Bombyx mori: one gene and its partner. The protein of the gene in region 1 purifies or fractionates together with the protein of each later gene. This does not show direct contact. Links are inferred from orthologs where the notes say so. Each region holds a gene or a part of one and is shown on either strand. Other genes may lie near its edges.

Region 1 (4,311 bases):
AGAAATAAGGCCGTGTAATCGTATTATCAGTTAACATAAACTTTAGTAAATTTCCACATTTTATTGAGAGGCTATTTCAGATCATCTTATTCAACGCCTACCAAATTATTATATTTTACCTCATTTAATTAAATACCTAATCAATTTGAATACATTCCATAATGTTCCGTTCTACCATATATATATAAGAAACTTGGCTTCGACTTTGTCACAAAAGCTTTGCTTTTATGGAATAGATTCCAATTTGTCAGCCCAATGTACCATAAGCACAAGGCTCCACCCGTGCGATATTTGTATAAAGCACACAAAGTTGTGGGTGAAAGCGTAGTTAAGTGATAAAATAAAAACATCACGATCGGTAACGAAAACATTAAGCGATTACTTTAAGTGTTTTATTTTGATATGAACACATGAGCTCTTGACCTTCCTGAGCTCATCCCGAAGGCGATGATCAGCATAACGTGAATGCCACTATTCACAGCACGTCACTTCGAATGCTTCCGATCCACTAACGGTGCTTTTAGGTAGGTACCTAAAGCACCGGTAATCGTTCTCGTCGAATTCGCTCGTGACGAAAGGCTCGGCGAGTAAATTAACCAAACAGACACAGCCCACTGAGTTTCTCGCCGGCTCACCTACTTGTTAGGTTACGCTGACATAGCCTATCAGAGCTGTGAGCTTAGGGCTAAAAATTTTTTATTCACATTGCGGTTAAGATTGAAATTGTCTCAATTGTCTGCATTGGTACAATTTATAACTGTATCTACAAGTATGTATGTACTTATCCAATATTATCTGCATAGATTATATTTAAATGTATTTAAGTATATACGTCTAGCCTAAAGTAAAATCTTTTTTTTTTTTCAGTTACCAAATGTTTTACTACTAGGTAATAATTTTTATATCGTCTCGTCTATTTTAAATTATATTGCCATTTCTTACAAATAATTTATAAATAAATAAATAAATAGGAGATCTAGTAAATATTTTTTCTATTATTATAGTTTATCTATAATTATCGGTATTTTTAAAGAAAACGTAAGAATAGGAAACTGGGTGCTTGTCGAAGCGACAGTCCTGCTGTCGGGAGCAACGCGCCCTATTACATTCAAAGCTAAAATTATTACCCATATTTTAAGTGCGAAGTTGAGTTTGTTAGTGTCCTCCTTTGAAGCATATGTTTGGGACCTATCAACATTTTGCAAAAAGATAGTTTACAGGCCGAAAACAAGAAACGAATGATGTACTTATAAATAACAAATGAAACTTAAAAATTATAAAATTACAAATTTATGATAACCAGCATCAGTACGGTATAAAAATTTCTTTTAAAAAATATCCGCGTCGTGGCATGCCCGGATCCTGTGGAACTGCCGAAGCGACCCACTAAATGTCTATTCTGCACTTTTCGCCCAAATGATCAAATTACGCTCGAAATGCTGGGGGGCGACTGCGGTCTGCACTGCGATCAGTCACGTGGCCACCAAGAGGATGTTCGGCCGACGAAAAACATCGACGAAAACGATTTCGTCGGCCAACTCGGATGACAGCTTATCAAGAAGGCCAGGCCTTGCCACTGTGGTTCCGGAATACCTCCCAGAACCAGAACCAGTCTGCTAGGTGCTCGCGATGTACCGCCAACCGATCACTCTTTAGCATCAACTCTGCAACGCCCTAGAGGGCGTTAGCTCATCTCTTAGGCTCCAACGCCTACTTCTGTGAGAGGTAAACTCGCAGAAGTGGCGATTTCCAGGATTATTCGCTGCCATGTGCCGTATCTAAGAATTTGGACAGCGACGAGTCCGGTCCTATTTGAGCAACGAGAATACTATGTCGCTTCTTCCGAGCGATGTAAGCTGCGAACTTGTGCTCCGCCGTGTTCACATTGGTGTACAGCAATACACCTAGATTGTGAGAAGGTAAGCCTTTTAGTATTGTAATTGTTTGAGAGTGAGGTGAGTCAATTAATTAGTTTCTCCACTCGTCAAACCACATTTCAAATTGGATGTACTTAGACAGATATCGGAACTATTGACGGAAACATTGTTCTGTGACTTATTTAAATAAAATTTTTTTATTATTAAAAAGTTCAAAATAATCGAATGATCTTCGAAACAAGCATAGAAGAAATGTTCTCAATACTTAATTTAAATATAATGTTCATAAAATTAAAACCTGTTTCTACTTTGAATACTTCCATTTTTGGAGACTGTGACTAACTTTTCCCACACAGTCTTATTTATGGTCCATTCGTAACGATCTACCTAAAGTCGATCCCACACAAAACTGAAATTGCACTCTGAAGAATATAACAGATTTATATAGTATGTACACGGTACACATTTACAGGCATTATGATTGTACGATAAATCCGAAATAACATAGAATAGGTATGTAGGAGTGATATACAAACCTTAAAATAACATCGGGCTTTTCCGGTAAAATACAACTGGTGTCAACCTTGAAACCACAATGGAAAATACGATTTTCGGATTTGTGAACACCGTTTGGTTGGTAGCATGAGATCACACAATGACACAGAGCTCGTACAGTAAGTAGTAGCACTTGCACTTTTAATGGTTGACTGATCGAATCAATGACACCTTTTCTCAATTATAAATTCAATTTTTTTTTAAATCACTTTTTCAATTAGTAGCATAAAAATAATTTTAAATACTGCACTGCTATAAATTTGTTCACAAAATAACATTAATATCTTTCATTGTTTAAGTTTATATCTTTAATTTAATTGTAGACAAAGCGTGGGAAGCAGCAAGTGGTAACATAACCACATACTAACAACTCGGACGCCTGTTATGCATCGACTGACATTCAGAGACACGAACATTTACGAATAGAATACGAGCACTCTAAACTATGAGCTAATGATATCGCGATCACAGCATCGCAAGCATACAATTTTTGAAATTCAGCAAAACTTGCTTTAGTTTTCTTTTATCAAATACATTATATACAAGAGCTTGTGTTATCAAAAATACATAATCATTTCTAAACGAATCTCTGTATCCAACAATAATTTATGCATCTCGTAAGAAACACAAGTTACTTAACGTTGAAAAATAAAACCATGTCATAATTTTATGAATGGGCCTAAATTATAGGTTTTGCAATTTTCACGTTCAATAGCCTTACAACATACTGAATCGTTGTTTTTAACGACATTGAATCGACTTTTCTAATTTATCTTATCTATTTTTGTTTTATTAACGAAAAAAACGTTTAAATAAACTGTATTGAAGAAGCATTTCACTAAGTACGAACCGCTGAGGTAATGCGCTCTCCAAAAATTATTTTTTTATATATAAATATATGTTATACATAAGCTGTTTTTACTATAATTTTTTTATATTTTTATGAAATGATGCCCTGGACCTTTACAAAATTTATGTAGGATACAGTTACAGATACAGACGACATTTCTTTAAGGAAATCCGATCAACAATAAGGAACCATAAAAAATGTATTTTTTGTATATTTCGTTCATAATTTTTGTAAGTTAATTAAAATTTCAGCAAAATATATTTTTTTAATTTGGACCCAAATATTTCATTAGATACTTGGTACAATTATATAAAGACCAACCTTTTTTGTGATTTCCAAAATTTGTCTATAGTTACTAGTAAGTTTTAAATATTTTTTTTGCGTGACGTGATTGAACGAGGTGACGGTCAACCTGGTCTTGACCGGCTAGCGGAGCGCATAGACATGAAATGCTGCCACCCACGTTGAGGTACGAGGTGATAGTCCCAATTCTAAAAGGCCTGGCTTATCCTACAAAGAAACACCGTCATGTTGCGCGGCAGAAATAGCCAGGGCGTTGTTACCTAGCCTTGCGAGTTTACAATACGCCCTACTACCAGAAAATAGAGGATGGCTATGACAGTACGTTAGTATAACTGCTAAAATAACGATACCACCCATTAACTCGTGAATGTCTTAGTTGCTTTTTACGATTCTCACTGGAAGAGATGAGGTGGTGGTATTCGAGGCCAACACAGCCATACACTTTATAAGGCTGTGTTTTGGTAAAGTCAAAGTCAAATTTTTGTGACTTACGGATTTATGACGAAATTATAAGAGTTCCGTTTTCTTGTATTTGACAGCAGAACCCTTATAAAAAAGCTGATTAATCTAAAATACTAAAAATTATTGGAAAGCTCTAATAAGTTACACTATTAGAACGAACATCGCATAAAAATATTTCTACGACGATCTATTTTAAATCGTTGGATACGTAAATAGCTTCGCAGTGGCTGTGGGCGAGACGTGATCATAACGTTTAGAAATAAT
Region 2 (4,283 bases), on another chromosome or scaffold:
TTATAATTTTGCGGGTTAGATTTTTATTACACGATGTTATTCCTTCACCATGGAAGTCAATCGTGAACATTTGTTAAGTACGTATTGAAAAATTGGTACCCGCCTGCAGGATTCGAACACTGATGTATCGCGAGATACGAATGCACCGAACGTCTTATCCTTTAGGCCACGACTTCATGTCTTCTTCGGTCAACCACTTCCCCTTTTGCCTTGCACTACCATTTTCATACATCTCAAAGTCACATGCATCTCCTCTCTATGCATCACATGTCCATACCACCCTAACTGTCCGCTCTTTAATTTATCAATCACTGGGGCTACATTCACACATGTCTTCATTTAGATATCTACCGCATGCACTCCTCTTTCATGTTTTATTATGGATAATGACAGACAATGACAATTACAGAAAATGAAGAGATAAACTGAATTAGAAAATCAAGGTGAAGAAGGTGAAATAAGAACACTATAGAAAAATACCCCAATATATGCAGATAGATATATTCGGCATTAACAAAAGGAAATATATATCGACGCTTGAAAGGCAAAAGTGACTAAGCGACAATAACTGCTTTGTACATAAATGAAAGGCAATAACCATTTTCGATGTGCAAAAAATATATATTTCTAGGTCTATTAAAATCATTTCAATCCTACTGCTACTAGCTAGATTCTACTACAGCTGGTTTCGTTAAAATAAATTTTGTTTTCAGGTATTTTAACTTTAAATTAGTCTACTGTAAAGTTCACGCATTGTCGCTTAGTCACGTTTGCCTTTCAAGCGTCGATATGCATATAAGCTCTTAACCGAATGTTGGTAATGTGTCTGGTGTGAATTAAAAAAAAAAAAAAGCAGTCCTATTTCTTAAATACATTTACTAACAACACACATACATGTGATTATGTAATAGAGAACTGTACAATTAATTGCTTACAAAGAACCAGGAAGGAGAATGTTGAATGATTTATTTCAATTAAAACAGTTCAAAGTATGAAGGTCACTTTTATGCATCCAAAGACATGTGAAAACAAAGGTATTGTTTCATTTATTTTATTTTCTGTATAGTTCAACCAAATCATAAACTATGACATTAGCAACACAATTAAAACGAAGAAACTGGCTGGTCACAATAAATCCAGCAAGCTTGTCTACATGACTTAAGACTATACAAAACTTTCAAACTAAAATATACTTATCAATTAAAATTTCAAACTCTTATGACAAAGTGACCACCTTCATTCAAATTAAAATGTCTATAGGTCCCGGTAACCACTTAACACCGGATGGGCCATGAGTTACTCATTCATTATCATAAGAGGGTCTAACTTTTTGAAACAGGAAGCCTGTAGACAATAATATATTCCCCTTATTTCTTCACTCAGTGAGATATAGAATAGTAACTGACCATATCGATGCAAGAAAGCAGAATTGTCGTAACTTGAAAAACCCGACCTTATACCGGAGCCATAAAACTATTTCAAAAATTCATAACTCATTTTATATATTTATAGAGATATAATGTTCAAAATTGGTATGAAATTGGATGAAATAAAGGTGAATGAAAAATTTTATTATAGGAAAACGAAACTACAGAAGCAGTATTTTTTTTATACAAGAAAATCCAGAATGCAAAAGCAAGTTACGACATTTCCACTTTCTACCGTCAATATCATTACTAGTTACCTGGAAAAGGCAATTTTTATTGATAATACTGCTAACCTTACGTTTTTTATTACAAGCTGAATATGTTGCAATGGTAGATATAGGTAAAGCTGTAGTAGTCCTGTGTGGGCTAACAATACACCAGTGAAATTTACACAGGGCACAGGAGAAGGATTGATTTATAAAGGTAAAATATCAAAATATATATTACAAATAAGTTATGGGAAGAACCGATTAGCAGAAAAAAGAACTTGGGCAGTCTACTGATATCTTGTAGTAATCACGTTGTAGGATCTGACTCTTCACCCAACACAACATAAACTAAATATTGCTGCTGCTAGTAACAATGATAATATATTACAAATATAAAAGTGAAATACTCTGATTAAGAAATTAATGAGACAAAAATGAGAACTTTAAAACCTCACACTTTTTGGTATTATAACATTCATTTATACTATTTTTATTTTCTAGCGTTTCGTATGAAAATAAATATATCGGAGATGTTGAAATCAATAATGTAACATACCTCATTAATGACTACAATTAATCATAACTTCTTTGTAGTTGTCACGAATGCGTACGTCGTCACGTAATTCCAATTAGATTACTATAATTATAAGCACGAAGCTCCAATCACCTTATACGGCTAACAATATGACTAACAAAATAGTAATCTTGGTAAAATAATAATTTATTATAGTTTCAACAAGGCTTGTGGCGTGGGCGACCGCAAAAGTTTCGGCCGATACCATTTTTGGCTTTCGAAAAGTTTGAGTACCTACAAGCACCTTTTATGAACGATTTTATTCGGTCGAAAAACCATACCTGTCTTTCGGCGCCTGCGTTCCTAGAACCGAGGATTCGTCGATGAGGGGTAGTCGTGAACCCTCTGGATACGCAATCTCTAATGCAAATTGATCCACCTCCATAGTTTGAGATGCACTTTCACTAAACCGTCAGTTTTTCTTTGAAAGGTATAAGCTAATCGATCAGCGCTGTTAACAAGCTCAAAACAAAGTCTTTACAATTTTCTTTGACGTCAATATTCAACTACCGCACTGCAAACTTCCAAAACAAAATCGAACTCGACTGACGTTTCTTGATTCTTGACGAATGTTTAACTAAGACTGGCAAACGGAACAAAGCCATACAACCTACGTGTTGAGGATTAAGGCAAAGCTGTCTGGGCAAAAAAATTATTCAATATTCCTGTCAAAAATGTGGAACCAATTCTATAAATAAATAAATACCCGACTGCACGCGACTCTGATAAAGCTGCTTTTAATTGAAGGATAATGGTAATTAAGCCTGGAAACTGCGTAAGGATATGATGTGAATGTGAATTTGATGGGAATGTGAGGCGAAAAGAAGTGTGATTTTTTTCTTTGTTAATTTAGTTTTTCGTCAGGTTTAAACGTGTAGTGATCATATATAATCTACTTAATATTTAAGAGCAGTTATGGTGGCATATTAGCCGTTTACTATCTGTGAAAATGTGGAAAAAATGGGATAAAAAATTCTGAAAATGGCTTCTTTAGTTCTTCCCAGAAATTTGAGATTAGCGCTCAGTAAATTTCTACCGTGTTGCTGGGAAACCATGAGTAATTGAGGAATAAATATATACGACAATGGCAACGTGATGCAAGAAGCCGATTGTCATGCTAAAACAACTAAGAGGATTCCAATCTACCTTACCTTATCTAGAATATGTGGTGTCTAAAAAGGCCACTACCACATCTCGGTAGAAAGACTTCAATCTATTTGGAGGAATTCGAAAAAGAAAATAAATAATGCCAGATCACATTGCCAAATGGAAGGATGAAGACAACGTAGGTACATCTTAAAGGCTTATAAAAAAACTGATTGAGACAAAATAAAATACACATTGTAGTTAAGCATGTTTCATTAAAAATACCCTATATGAAACGTCTTTAAGTATATAAAACATTACATTAGCTACACTATGCACTGTATTAGCTATGAACCTAGTGTTAAATGCTATTAGATTACTTTGTCCGAATAAAGAAAACGAGATAATTTAGGACAATTAAAAGAAATAGATTATGTGATAGTATTACAGAAACGAAGACATAGATAAATTAAATAATAACATTATTAAACATATTACGTTAGTTAGTAGTAAGTTAGAAGTCGTCGTGGCCTAAAGGATAAGACGTCTGGTGCATTCGTATCCGGTGCACCGGTGTTCGAATCCCGCACCACTACCAATTTTTTTAATGTACTTAACAAATGTTCACGATTGACTTCCACGGTGAAGGAATAACATCGTGTAATAAAAATCAAAAACGCAAAATTATAATTTGCGTAATTACTGGTGGTGGGACCTCTTGTCAGTCCGCGCGTGTATGTACCACCACCCTGTCTATTTCTGCCGTGAAGCAATAATGCGTTTCGGTTTGAAGGGTGGGACAGCCATTGTAACTATACTGAGACCTTAGAATTTATATGTCAATGTGGGTGGCGCATTTTACATTGTAGATGTCTATGGGCTCCAGTAACCACTTAGTACCAGATGGACTGTGAGCTCGTCCACCCATCTAAGCATTAAAAAAAAAAGTACCATTAGTACATTCGGTCCAGAGGTCTTTATTAGATA

Evidence for each region. The genes of interacting proteins can lie anywhere in the genome.
Region 2: the proteins of DnaJ-4 (region 1) and BAG family molecular chaperone regulator 2 purify together in Homo sapiens (affinity purification with mass spectrometry; 4 studies listed by BioGRID and IntAct, with this or other methods). This does not show direct contact. The link is inferred for Bombyx mori from reciprocal best matches to the Homo sapiens genes DNAJB6 and BAG2.

The regions. Positions count from the first base shown.
Region 1 is NC_085116.1:8,813,187-8,817,497, forward strand, and holds the start of DnaJ-4 (DnaJ (Hsp40) homolog 4), read right to left. Parts: upstream 2,804-4,311; 5' UTR 2,414-2,803; exon of another isoform or gene 2,350-2,413; intron 1,920-2,349; exon of another isoform or gene 903-1,919; intron 1-902. UniProt on the Homo sapiens protein: Has a stimulatory effect on the ATPase activity of HSP70 in a dose-dependent and time-dependent manner and hence acts as a co-chaperone of HSP70. Plays an indispensable role in the organization of KRT8/KRT18 filaments.
Region 2 is NC_085125.1:2,380,734-2,385,016, reverse strand, and holds the start of BAG family molecular chaperone regulator 2, read right to left. Parts: upstream 2,803-4,283; 5' UTR 2,596-2,802; coding exon 2,492-2,595; exon of another isoform or gene 2,198-2,491; coding exon of another isoform or gene 2,193-2,197; intron 1-2,192. UniProt on the Homo sapiens protein: Co-chaperone for HSP70 and HSC70 chaperone proteins. Acts as a nucleotide-exchange factor (NEF) promoting the release of ADP from the HSP70 and HSC70 proteins thereby triggering client/substrate protein release.